Linked DNA regions of Saccharomyces cerevisiae S288C. The protein of the gene in region 1 binds, or shares a complex with, the protein of each later gene. Each region holds a gene or a part of one and is shown on either strand. Other genes may lie near its edges.

Region 1 (3,479 bases):
TCCACTTGAATGCATTTCTTGATTACACTCAAAAGCCCCTCAGAAAATCTGGAATTTCTCGGGAAACTGTACTTACCAGTGTTTATAGCGTAGGTTAAAGAAGCTCCATGTATCTGCTCTTCTCGCTCAAAGGGGGAGATACCGAACATTAAAGTATAGAACGTACAACCCAAAGACCAAATATCAACCTTAGAGCTCAAAACCTGATTTAATTTCAAGTTCAGAAGTTCTGGTGGAGTATATGGCAACGTACAATTGTCATTGACCCATTCTTGTAGTTCGCTGAGTTGATGTCTGTTTTCAATTGTTATATCAGCTTGAGAGCAGGAGCCGAGGTCACCAATTACTGGTAAACCGTCTGAAGAGAACAAAATGTTTGAAGGTGTAATATCGCGATGTGCATATGCTATTGAACCTGCTGAGTTGGAGGAAAGCATGTCCATCTCTAAGGGGGTGTCTTCTAGGAGCATCGCCGTTTCATCGCTATAAGTCATAGAAACCGCATCGACATTTACTCTGGAAGTAGCGTTATCTTGTCTTGACGCAGGATCATGTAAACAAAGTAAACCTCTTGTAACTCCAAGCATTATCCTTACGCATTCTGCCTCTGATACAAAGGTGCCCTCGAGTAACCTCCGATTAATAGAGTCTTGTAAACTCCCTAATGAATAATAGGGTAGTACTATGTAAATTGTTTTTGACCCATCTTTTTCCTGCATTACTTGTGAGTCGATACTTTTTATAACATAAGGACTTTGAAACCGTTTGTAATTTTCAATTTCTCGCATACCATTGGATATACTTTCCACACTAGGACAAATAATCTTCTTTAGTGCGTATAATTCTGGTGTTGCGATGCCGTTGTCTATAATCAGAGAATTCTTTGACAGTTGTACCAAATACACAAAGGACATTCCACCTTCTCCAAGTAGTCGTTGAATCCTATATCGTTTATCATTTACCCTAATAGTAGCATCGGAAAATCCGCGACAGCAGCACAAGTTCTGGAACAATTCCAATACAATAGAAATCATTGATCGGATAAGATGGTACAATCGTTATTTTATCCCTAGTCAGTCGCTGAGATTACAGGCTCTTTTTGTCTACTCTCTGTTTCGTCTTTTTGGAGAAAGTATGGTTCAACATCTTACAAAACCAGATACCGAAAATGTCCCTAACTCGGTGTCATAAGACAGGACTTATCAAAACAGAAAGGATCTTGCAAAAAAGAAAAAGAGCAAATTATGTAAACTTTGGGGGTCAACACAGTTGTATCAGTCGTATTGGTTAGACCCAATATAGCGGTTTTCTTTACTTCTTTGTTTCTACACTTATTAAAGTCTATTTAACTCCCTTTCACGTGATCAGTTTGAAAGAAACGTGAAAATTATTTTTTTCAGCGAACTTTTTGAAGGTTTTCAATAGAAGATGAAAGCTAAATGAAGACTGTACATTCACACGGGAAACGAGAGAAAGAAGTTCAGTTAGTTGAAGCCAGCAATACTACTTTCTCTAGCAGTCTAGCACAAGTTACTTTGAAAGGAAATAAAAAAAATTGTCAGCATGTCGATTCAAACTAGTGATCCAAATGAAACATCAGATTTAAAGTCGTTATCTTTAATTGCTGCCCACTCCCATATTACAGGTTTAGGTCTAGATGAAAACTTGCAACCACGTCCCACATCCGAAGGTATGGTTGGGCAATTGCAAGCCCGTCGTGCTGCTGGTGTGATATTGAAAATGGTTCAAAATGGCACCATAGCAGGTAGGGCTGTTTTGGTAGCGGGCCCCCCTTCAACTGGTAAGACCGCTCTTGCCATGGGTGTTTCCCAGTCTCTGGGTAAAGATGTACCATTCACTGCTATTGCGGGCTCAGAAATCTTTTCTTTAGAATTGAGTAAAACTGAAGCACTAACTCAAGCTTTTAGGAAATCCATCGGTATCAAAATCAAGGAGGAGACAGAATTGATTGAAGGTGAAGTCGTGGAAATTCAAATTGATAGATCTATTACTGGTGGACACAAACAAGGAAAATTGACTATTAAAACTACCGATATGGAAACAATTTATGAATTAGGCAATAAAATGATTGATGGCCTAACTAAAGAAAAGGTATTGGCTGGCGATGTTATTTCTATTGATAAAGCTAGTGGGAAGATTACCAAGCTAGGCAGATCCTTTGCTAGATCTAGGGATTATGATGCCATGGGTGCTGATACCAGATTTGTTCAATGTCCGGAAGGCGAACTGCAAAAAAGGAAAACAGTGGTTCACACGGTGTCACTGCATGAAATTGATGTTATTAATTCAAGAACACAAGGATTTTTGGCATTATTTACTGGTGACACCGGTGAAATTAGGTCAGAGGTAAGAGACCAGATAAACACAAAAGTGGCAGAATGGAAAGAAGAAGGTAAAGCAGAAATTGTTCCTGGTGTATTATTTATCGACGAAGTCCACATGTTGGATATAGAATGTTTTTCCTTTATAAATAGGGCTTTGGAAGATGAGTTTGCCCCAATCGTCATGATGGCTACAAATAGAGGAGTTTCCAAAACCAGAGGGACTAATTACAAATCTCCACATGGGTTACCTCTCGATCTTTTGGATAGGTCAATTATTATTACAACTAAAAGTTATAATGAGCAGGAGATTAAGACAATTTTATCTATAAGAGCACAAGAGGAGGAAGTTGAACTGTCATCCGATGCCTTAGATCTATTGACCAAAACAGGTGTGGAAACTAGTTTGCGTTACAGCAGTAATTTAATCTCTGTTGCTCAGCAAATTGCAATGAAGAGAAAAAACAACACTGTTGAAGTGGAAGATGTCAAAAGGGCTTATTTGCTATTTTTGGACAGCGCTAGATCTGTTAAGTATGTTCAAGAGAACGAGTCACAATATATTGATGATCAGGGCAACGTTCAAATATCCATTGCTAAATCAGCAGACCCTGATGCCATGGATACTACGGAATAAGCATTTTGTACTTTAAGGCAGAAATTGCATCAAATATATATGTATAAATAAAAATTTTATGTTTGCGTGATTGTTGGTGATAAGAAGTAAAAAAGTACACCTAAAATAGGCAGCAGTTGGCCAGCACGTTCAGAACCCCGTATGATATACCTTCTTTCGAATAATTATCGATTATCAAATGTATAGATAGCAGTATTATAATATATACTATATTCTATACATATATGAAGGGGGTTGGTGCGTGTATATGAGAAAAAATTTTTTTATTGTAATTATTTTTTTTTTTTAAACTTTTGACTCATTCAGAGCCTCTAGTGTTCAAAATCAAAGCTACAATCATACCATATAACCCTAAAACTTCAGAGAAAATTAGAATCAAAACGATACCGACAAAAAGCCTTGGTTGGTGCATATACTTTCTAACACCAACGTCACCGACCATACCAATGGCGTAGCCACTACTCAAACAGGCAAATCCCACACAGAGCCCACAACTCAAG
Region 2 (2,838 bases), on another chromosome or scaffold:
TTAGCACACTTAATCCTGATGAATATCAGTTACCAGTAATAGAGACCGGTTCATCAAACTTTAAGATTGAAATACCGGAATTAATGTACGAACACGATGATGACGACAGTGACAAACTTAAAAATTCCCAGAAAAGAGCTACCGACTCAGCTATTGAAGAATTAAACGGTATGGTTGAAGAAATGATGATTAATGAGCCAGACGATGTAAAAATCTCCATAACTGAGGCAGAGACTTTCGAATCATTGACAAAGTTTGATCAATATAAGCCATCCAATATAACTGACGATGACTTACAAAGCAGCCATTCAAGCGCCGTTCACTCATTGAAGCTAAGTACAAATACAAATGATTCTTGCGCTGATAGTTCCAAATACACCGCTGATAGGAAATTAGCGGAACCTAGAAAGATTTCTGAGGAATCCAAAGTCAACGACGATTCATCATCATATTATTCTCCAAATATCAACAACTTGCCGGCATCAAGAATGCCTAGTCAACCCACTTATTCAAATTCGGATTCGAAAAAGGCATTTACGAATGAGTCTCGCCTGAACGTCTTACAAGGTGCAGTCAGTCCATCTCAACAGGTAACACCAAAACCATATAAAAATGCGCCTGGAGACTGTGTATCTCCTGTTCAGCAAAAATACTATCAGAACGATCGTAGAAATGAAATGTCGCCTGCAAGTGCACCAGTTCCACCTTCTGCATATTCACCTGCGAGGTCTCCACAATTCTCCACCAATTCGGCTGGATTCAAGCAGAACACGATTAATGTACCCGTTGGGTATAATGATCCTGCTCACGTTTTAGCAAATCAACCACATATGACATATCGGGACCAGCATAATTATCCATCTCACCAACAAAAACAACGTCCCTTCCAAAACAATATTGTGCCCCCAGAACTAAAGTCCAGAAATCAACGGGCAGATGCTTCACCTATTCCCCAACATATGGTGCCAGTAAAACAAGGTGTGCCCAATCTTCCATCTAACGTTCCATTATATCAACAAATGGAACGAATGAACCCTAACCACCAGCACCCTGTAAATACTTACAAGGTAACTCAGCCGCCGTATCATAATAACACAACAAATGCTTATGGGAACAGCCGGGCAGGCAATGCTCATATGTTAGATGGAAAGTGGAGCAATAATCCGCCGCAAATGGTACCAAAGGGAGTTCGCCCCAATCAATATCCACAGCAGCACGTTAATAGGTATTCACCGCAAGCTCAACCTGTCGTACCTGCGGAATACTACAATGGACCTCCACCTATGCGAGCACCTCCAATGATGTCCCATATGGTACCAGCTCAGGAGCCGATACGTTACACAGCTGGTGCTAACAGGCGTAGTTTTCCCCAAGGCATGCAGCAGAATGCCTATTCCGTACCCGCTCAGCCTATGGGGGCTGTAAATAGTGAATTTTACCTACCAGAAGCTCCTCAGGGAAACAAACTGCATGGAAATATTAACAAAAGACAGGAGAGAAAGAAGCTATATGATAACATTAGAAGCGGAAATTTCGGCATATAGAAACACTTTGTATCTGAAATTATCATCTTTATGAAATCTCAACAGTTGTAAAATTTCCCGAATATTTATACATATATATGTGTATGTAATTACAAGTATTTAGGACAATAAGGAGAGATTTAAGTCTACTACATAATTTTTAACTCCTACAAATGGCAGGTTACGTTGAGTAAGAATATAACATTTTATTTTCCATATTCAACATCATATGCATTTTATCATCTCATCCTCTTAGTCACTAATTTTTCTAACGCTCATAACAAAAGGTGCGTTACGCCGTCTAGAGCTTTTCTTGAACGTTAAAACTTTACCAAGCAGTTGACGGGTAATCATTCTCATAATCCAAGTAATTTTAAAGATATCAACAAAATGTACTATAATGCCAACACATTCTTTACTTATATTGGCCGGAAGATAAATCCAATTTCTCGAGTAATTGTGGTATGTCCCAAGAAAGTAGTGTTTTATCAGAATCGCAAGAACAACTAGCCAATAACCCTAAAATAGAGGATACAAGCCCTCCCTCTGCCAATTCGAGAGATAATAGCAAACCTGTACTTCCGTGGGATTACAAGAATAAAGCCATAGAGATCAAGAGCTTCAGTGGTTATAAGGTAAATTTCACCGGCTGGATAAGAAGAGACGTAAGAGAAGAACGTCAAAGGGGAAGCGAGTTTACTGCATCTGACGTTAAAGGATCAGATGACAAAGCTACAAGGAAAAAAGAACCAGCAGATGAGGATCCTGAAGTAAAACAACTTGAAAAAGAAGGAGAGGATGGACTGGACTCATAAGGTAATGTCAACAGCTTAAAGTTGTTCTCAGGGCCCCACACTTTCTAGTTTGGCACGTCATTTATGAAATTCACAAATTGGTTACATTAAGTACTAAATCTGGTAGCCGACCAAAAAAGAACAACAAATATACAATTGTATGAGTAAATATGCAATATAAATCAAATGTATTTAGTTAAAGGGCCAGAAGTAAGGCTACAGACTGTAAAAGAAAATTAGATGGAAACCCTCTTCAGGAAAAAAGGACATTATAAAAGATACAGCCAAGAAGTGGGCGTTTATAAAACAATTATATAACATGACCGTCGATTATATTCTGACAGGAATGGCGACGATTGCATCGTTATATTTCATTTCATTCCCAACTCAACGATACTGGTATCAAAAAGCCTCTCTGTTCATTATTTGTCCCACTACAAGCGACTCTCTTATTTTTGGCGGTCTCTGCCAGCTTAAGAAAAAGCGGTTACCAAACGACACTAAAAGAAGCGGCGCGTCTG
Region 3 (2,821 bases), on another chromosome or scaffold:
TGAAGAAACTGACGTAAATAATTATCATTTGAGTCAGAACATAAACTCTGTAAGAGACTTAAAGCTTTCTCGATTAGCACCGAGTCTCTATTTGATAATGACTTCAACAAAGTTAGGAACATGCTGTCGTTATGTTTCAAGATTTGGTTTGGAGCCTTGTGATAAATTAAGATGAGCCAATCCAAGCAGGCAATCTTGGCATCAATCCTACTATCGAAAAACTGTAGAGTTAAGCTATTAACGATTGGCCCGTATGCAATTTTCCCGTCTGTCTCTTTTCCCACATATGAGCTGCACAATGAGAGTAATTGACCGTTCACCAGCTGAGCAATTTCAGTAATATGCGGATCCGAATCGCTCAATAGCTTTAAAAGCACAGAAAGAATTTTTGAAAGGAAGGGGATAAACACATTTGGAGAAATGGATAAAATAACCTGAATCCAGTGTAATGCAATCAATTGAATCTCTGCCTCAGATGATGCCAAATTGTTCACAAGAACGGTAATAACCTCTGGGAAATTGAGGTTGATATCTTGACCAGGTATATATTCTTCGCCATCGCGAAGAGGTTCTTGGCTAGTTGCCTCGCTATCTAGCAGCTGCTCCTGGCTTGTCAAGTGTCTTTCATCATCTGTCTCATTAGTATTAGATAATTTGGTATCATCAGTCTCCATACTCAGAGGTTTGGATAACCCACCTAATGCAGTCATTAAAGTTTTCTTCTTTTCAGCAATAAGTGCACCATCGGCCTTTTTCGTTGGAGTAGAACTGTTATTGTATTTATCTTCCAGCATTTTCAGTCTTTCCAGTCTCTTCATTTTAATTTCAGTTTGTAATTTTGAAATGCGGTCGACTTCGTGAAGTAGTGAGTCCATAAGGGTGTGTGTAACTGTTCTGACATCTTTATGAGAATCGCCCAAGAACGTGAATAACCCGCCAAGAAATGATGGTAGATACGATATGAGCTCTAGTCCTGGGGTATTGAGCAAGACTTTAAGCCAGTCAACTAAAAAAACACGCGTATCAGGGTTAATGGCGTAAATTCTCTCTGTTAATAAAGGAATAAATTTTGGTAAAGAGAACGCCAATTGATTATCTTGCTCATATTCTTCTTGGTAGACATCCCCGCTGATTGGATCCGTTTTTATGGCTGGAAGCAAACCATGCGATCCATTATTTACAATGCTTATGTAATTGGATGCTCTTTCAGCAACAATATCTTTTATCAACCGATCTAATAGTTCAGCTGCTCCTCGGACCGAGTTTTCTGTATCAGCACTAATTTTACAGAGTACGTCAAATATTTCATTGAAATAGACCAGTATTTCACCCTTCGCAATCTTTGCAATATTGTACAAACTCTCACACGCATAAAATCTTACTTGGTCATTCTGGTCGCCAAAACATGCGAGAACTGGAGGAAGAATATTCCTCAAGTAACGGCCAACATCGTTTATTCCTAAAGCAATTGCTGTGGCAGCCAAGCCCATTAATCCTGCATTTCTAGCCATGGGCTGATGCAAAGCGTATGCATAGTCTCTGCATAGTTCGTCTATTATCTTGTCAATACGATCATAGTCCCCTTCTAGAACGCATTGTTTGACCAACTTTTCCAACTCCAAGGCGGCAGCCTTCCGTTTTTCGTATAGTTTGTCGCTTAAACCTTTGGCAATCGATTTTTCCATGTTCCAGTTCCTGTTGTAGCCTGAGCAGATAAGCACAGCAGCATCAAAAGGTTCCTCCTTCTGCTTCTCTATGAACCTTCCTCTCGTGTTCTTTTTCGAGCATCGCGGAAACGCGATTTAAGACAAACAAAGGGAACGTGCTATTTCATCAAATCACGGTGTAATCCTGCTTTGTTTCTGCATTTACAGTTAATTCTCTACTTCGTTAGCTGCTGATAGGACTTCAAGATTCGTACGATGGATTGCCCCTCAAACGTTGTGTTATTGTTGCTGCAATTAGTTTTGCAGCGCCAACAAACTCTAGCTCATCGAGATAAGTCGGTTGATTTGCAAACGCTGTTAAAAGATCCCGTCATTGATAATGACGTACTAGTAGAGTTCAAGACACACAAGTTGGTGCAATTATATGGCCCTCAATACTGCCGCGACATATCTCTGAGAGGGCTCAAAACAATGGTTACAGATATCTTCGCAAACGGAATCCCAAAAAATGCGCAATCTTCAGGGAATGATCAACCAGTGACTGTAGTGGACCTGGCCAATTACTACTACATGCAGAGAATCAATGAGCTACAGAATACAGAACTTCCTCAATTGAAAGAGGCATTGCTGACAAGGCTGGAGCACATGATCTAATACGTATAACACGATGATCAAATTTTTTTTTCTTTCCATAGTAATGAAAAGCGATGCCTAGGCAAGAAACAGTACAAATGCCTAATGGCTTATGGTTGAACATGACAAGAGTGGGTCAAAGAGGCAGGAGCTAAGATCAAATATGCGTAATCTTATTACCTTGAATAAGGGTAAATTTAAGCCAACGGCGTCTACTGCAGAAGGCGATGAAGATGACTTATCTTTCACTTTGTTAGACTCGGTATTTGATACATTATCCGACAGTATAACATGTGTACTCGGTTCTACGGATATTGGTGCTATTGAAGTGCAACAATTCATGAAGGATGGTTCCAGGAATGTGTTGGCTTCATTCAACATTCAGACTTTTGACGACAAATTATTATCTTTTGTTCATTTTGCGGATATTAACCAATTAGTCTTTGTCTTTGAACAAGGTGATATCATTACAGCCACTTATGATCCTGTCAGTTTGGACCCAGCTGAAACTTTAATTGAAA

Evidence for each region. The genes of interacting proteins can lie anywhere in the genome.
Region 2: RVB2 (region 1) and IES4 share a complex: the UniProt entries of both Saccharomyces cerevisiae proteins name them as parts of the chromatin-remodeling INO80 complex.
Region 3: RVB2 (region 1) and SWC7 share a complex: the UniProt entries of both Saccharomyces cerevisiae proteins name them as parts of the SWR1 chromatin remodeling complex.

The regions. Positions count from the first base shown.
Region 1 is NC_001148.4:101,669-105,147, forward strand, and holds RVB2 (RuvB family ATP-dependent DNA helicase reptin), read left to right. Parts: upstream 1-1,563; coding exon 1,564-2,979; downstream 2,980-3,479. Other genes in the region: putative serine/threonine protein kinase ENV7, read right to left, coding at 1-1,034; VMA11 (H(+)-transporting V0 sector ATPase subunit c'), read right to left, coding at 3,278-3,479. UniProt on the Saccharomyces cerevisiae protein: DNA helicase which participates in several chromatin remodeling complexes, including the SWR1 and the INO80 complexes.
Region 2 is NC_001147.6:687,637-690,474, forward strand, and holds IES4 (Ies4p), read left to right. Parts: upstream 1-1,987; coding exon 1,988-2,338; downstream 2,339-2,838. Other genes in the region: MSB1 (Msb1p), read left to right, coding at 1-1,544.
Region 3 is NC_001144.5:892,492-895,312, reverse strand, and holds SWC7 (Swc7p), read left to right. Parts: upstream 1-1,922; coding exon 1,923-2,321; downstream 2,322-2,821. Other genes in the region: VAC14 (Vac14p), read right to left, coding at 1-1,685; Elongator subunit IKI3, read left to right, coding at 2,413-2,821. UniProt on the Saccharomyces cerevisiae protein: Component of the SWR1 complex which mediates the ATP-dependent exchange of histone H2A for the H2A variant HZT1 leading to transcriptional regulation of selected genes by chromatin remodeling.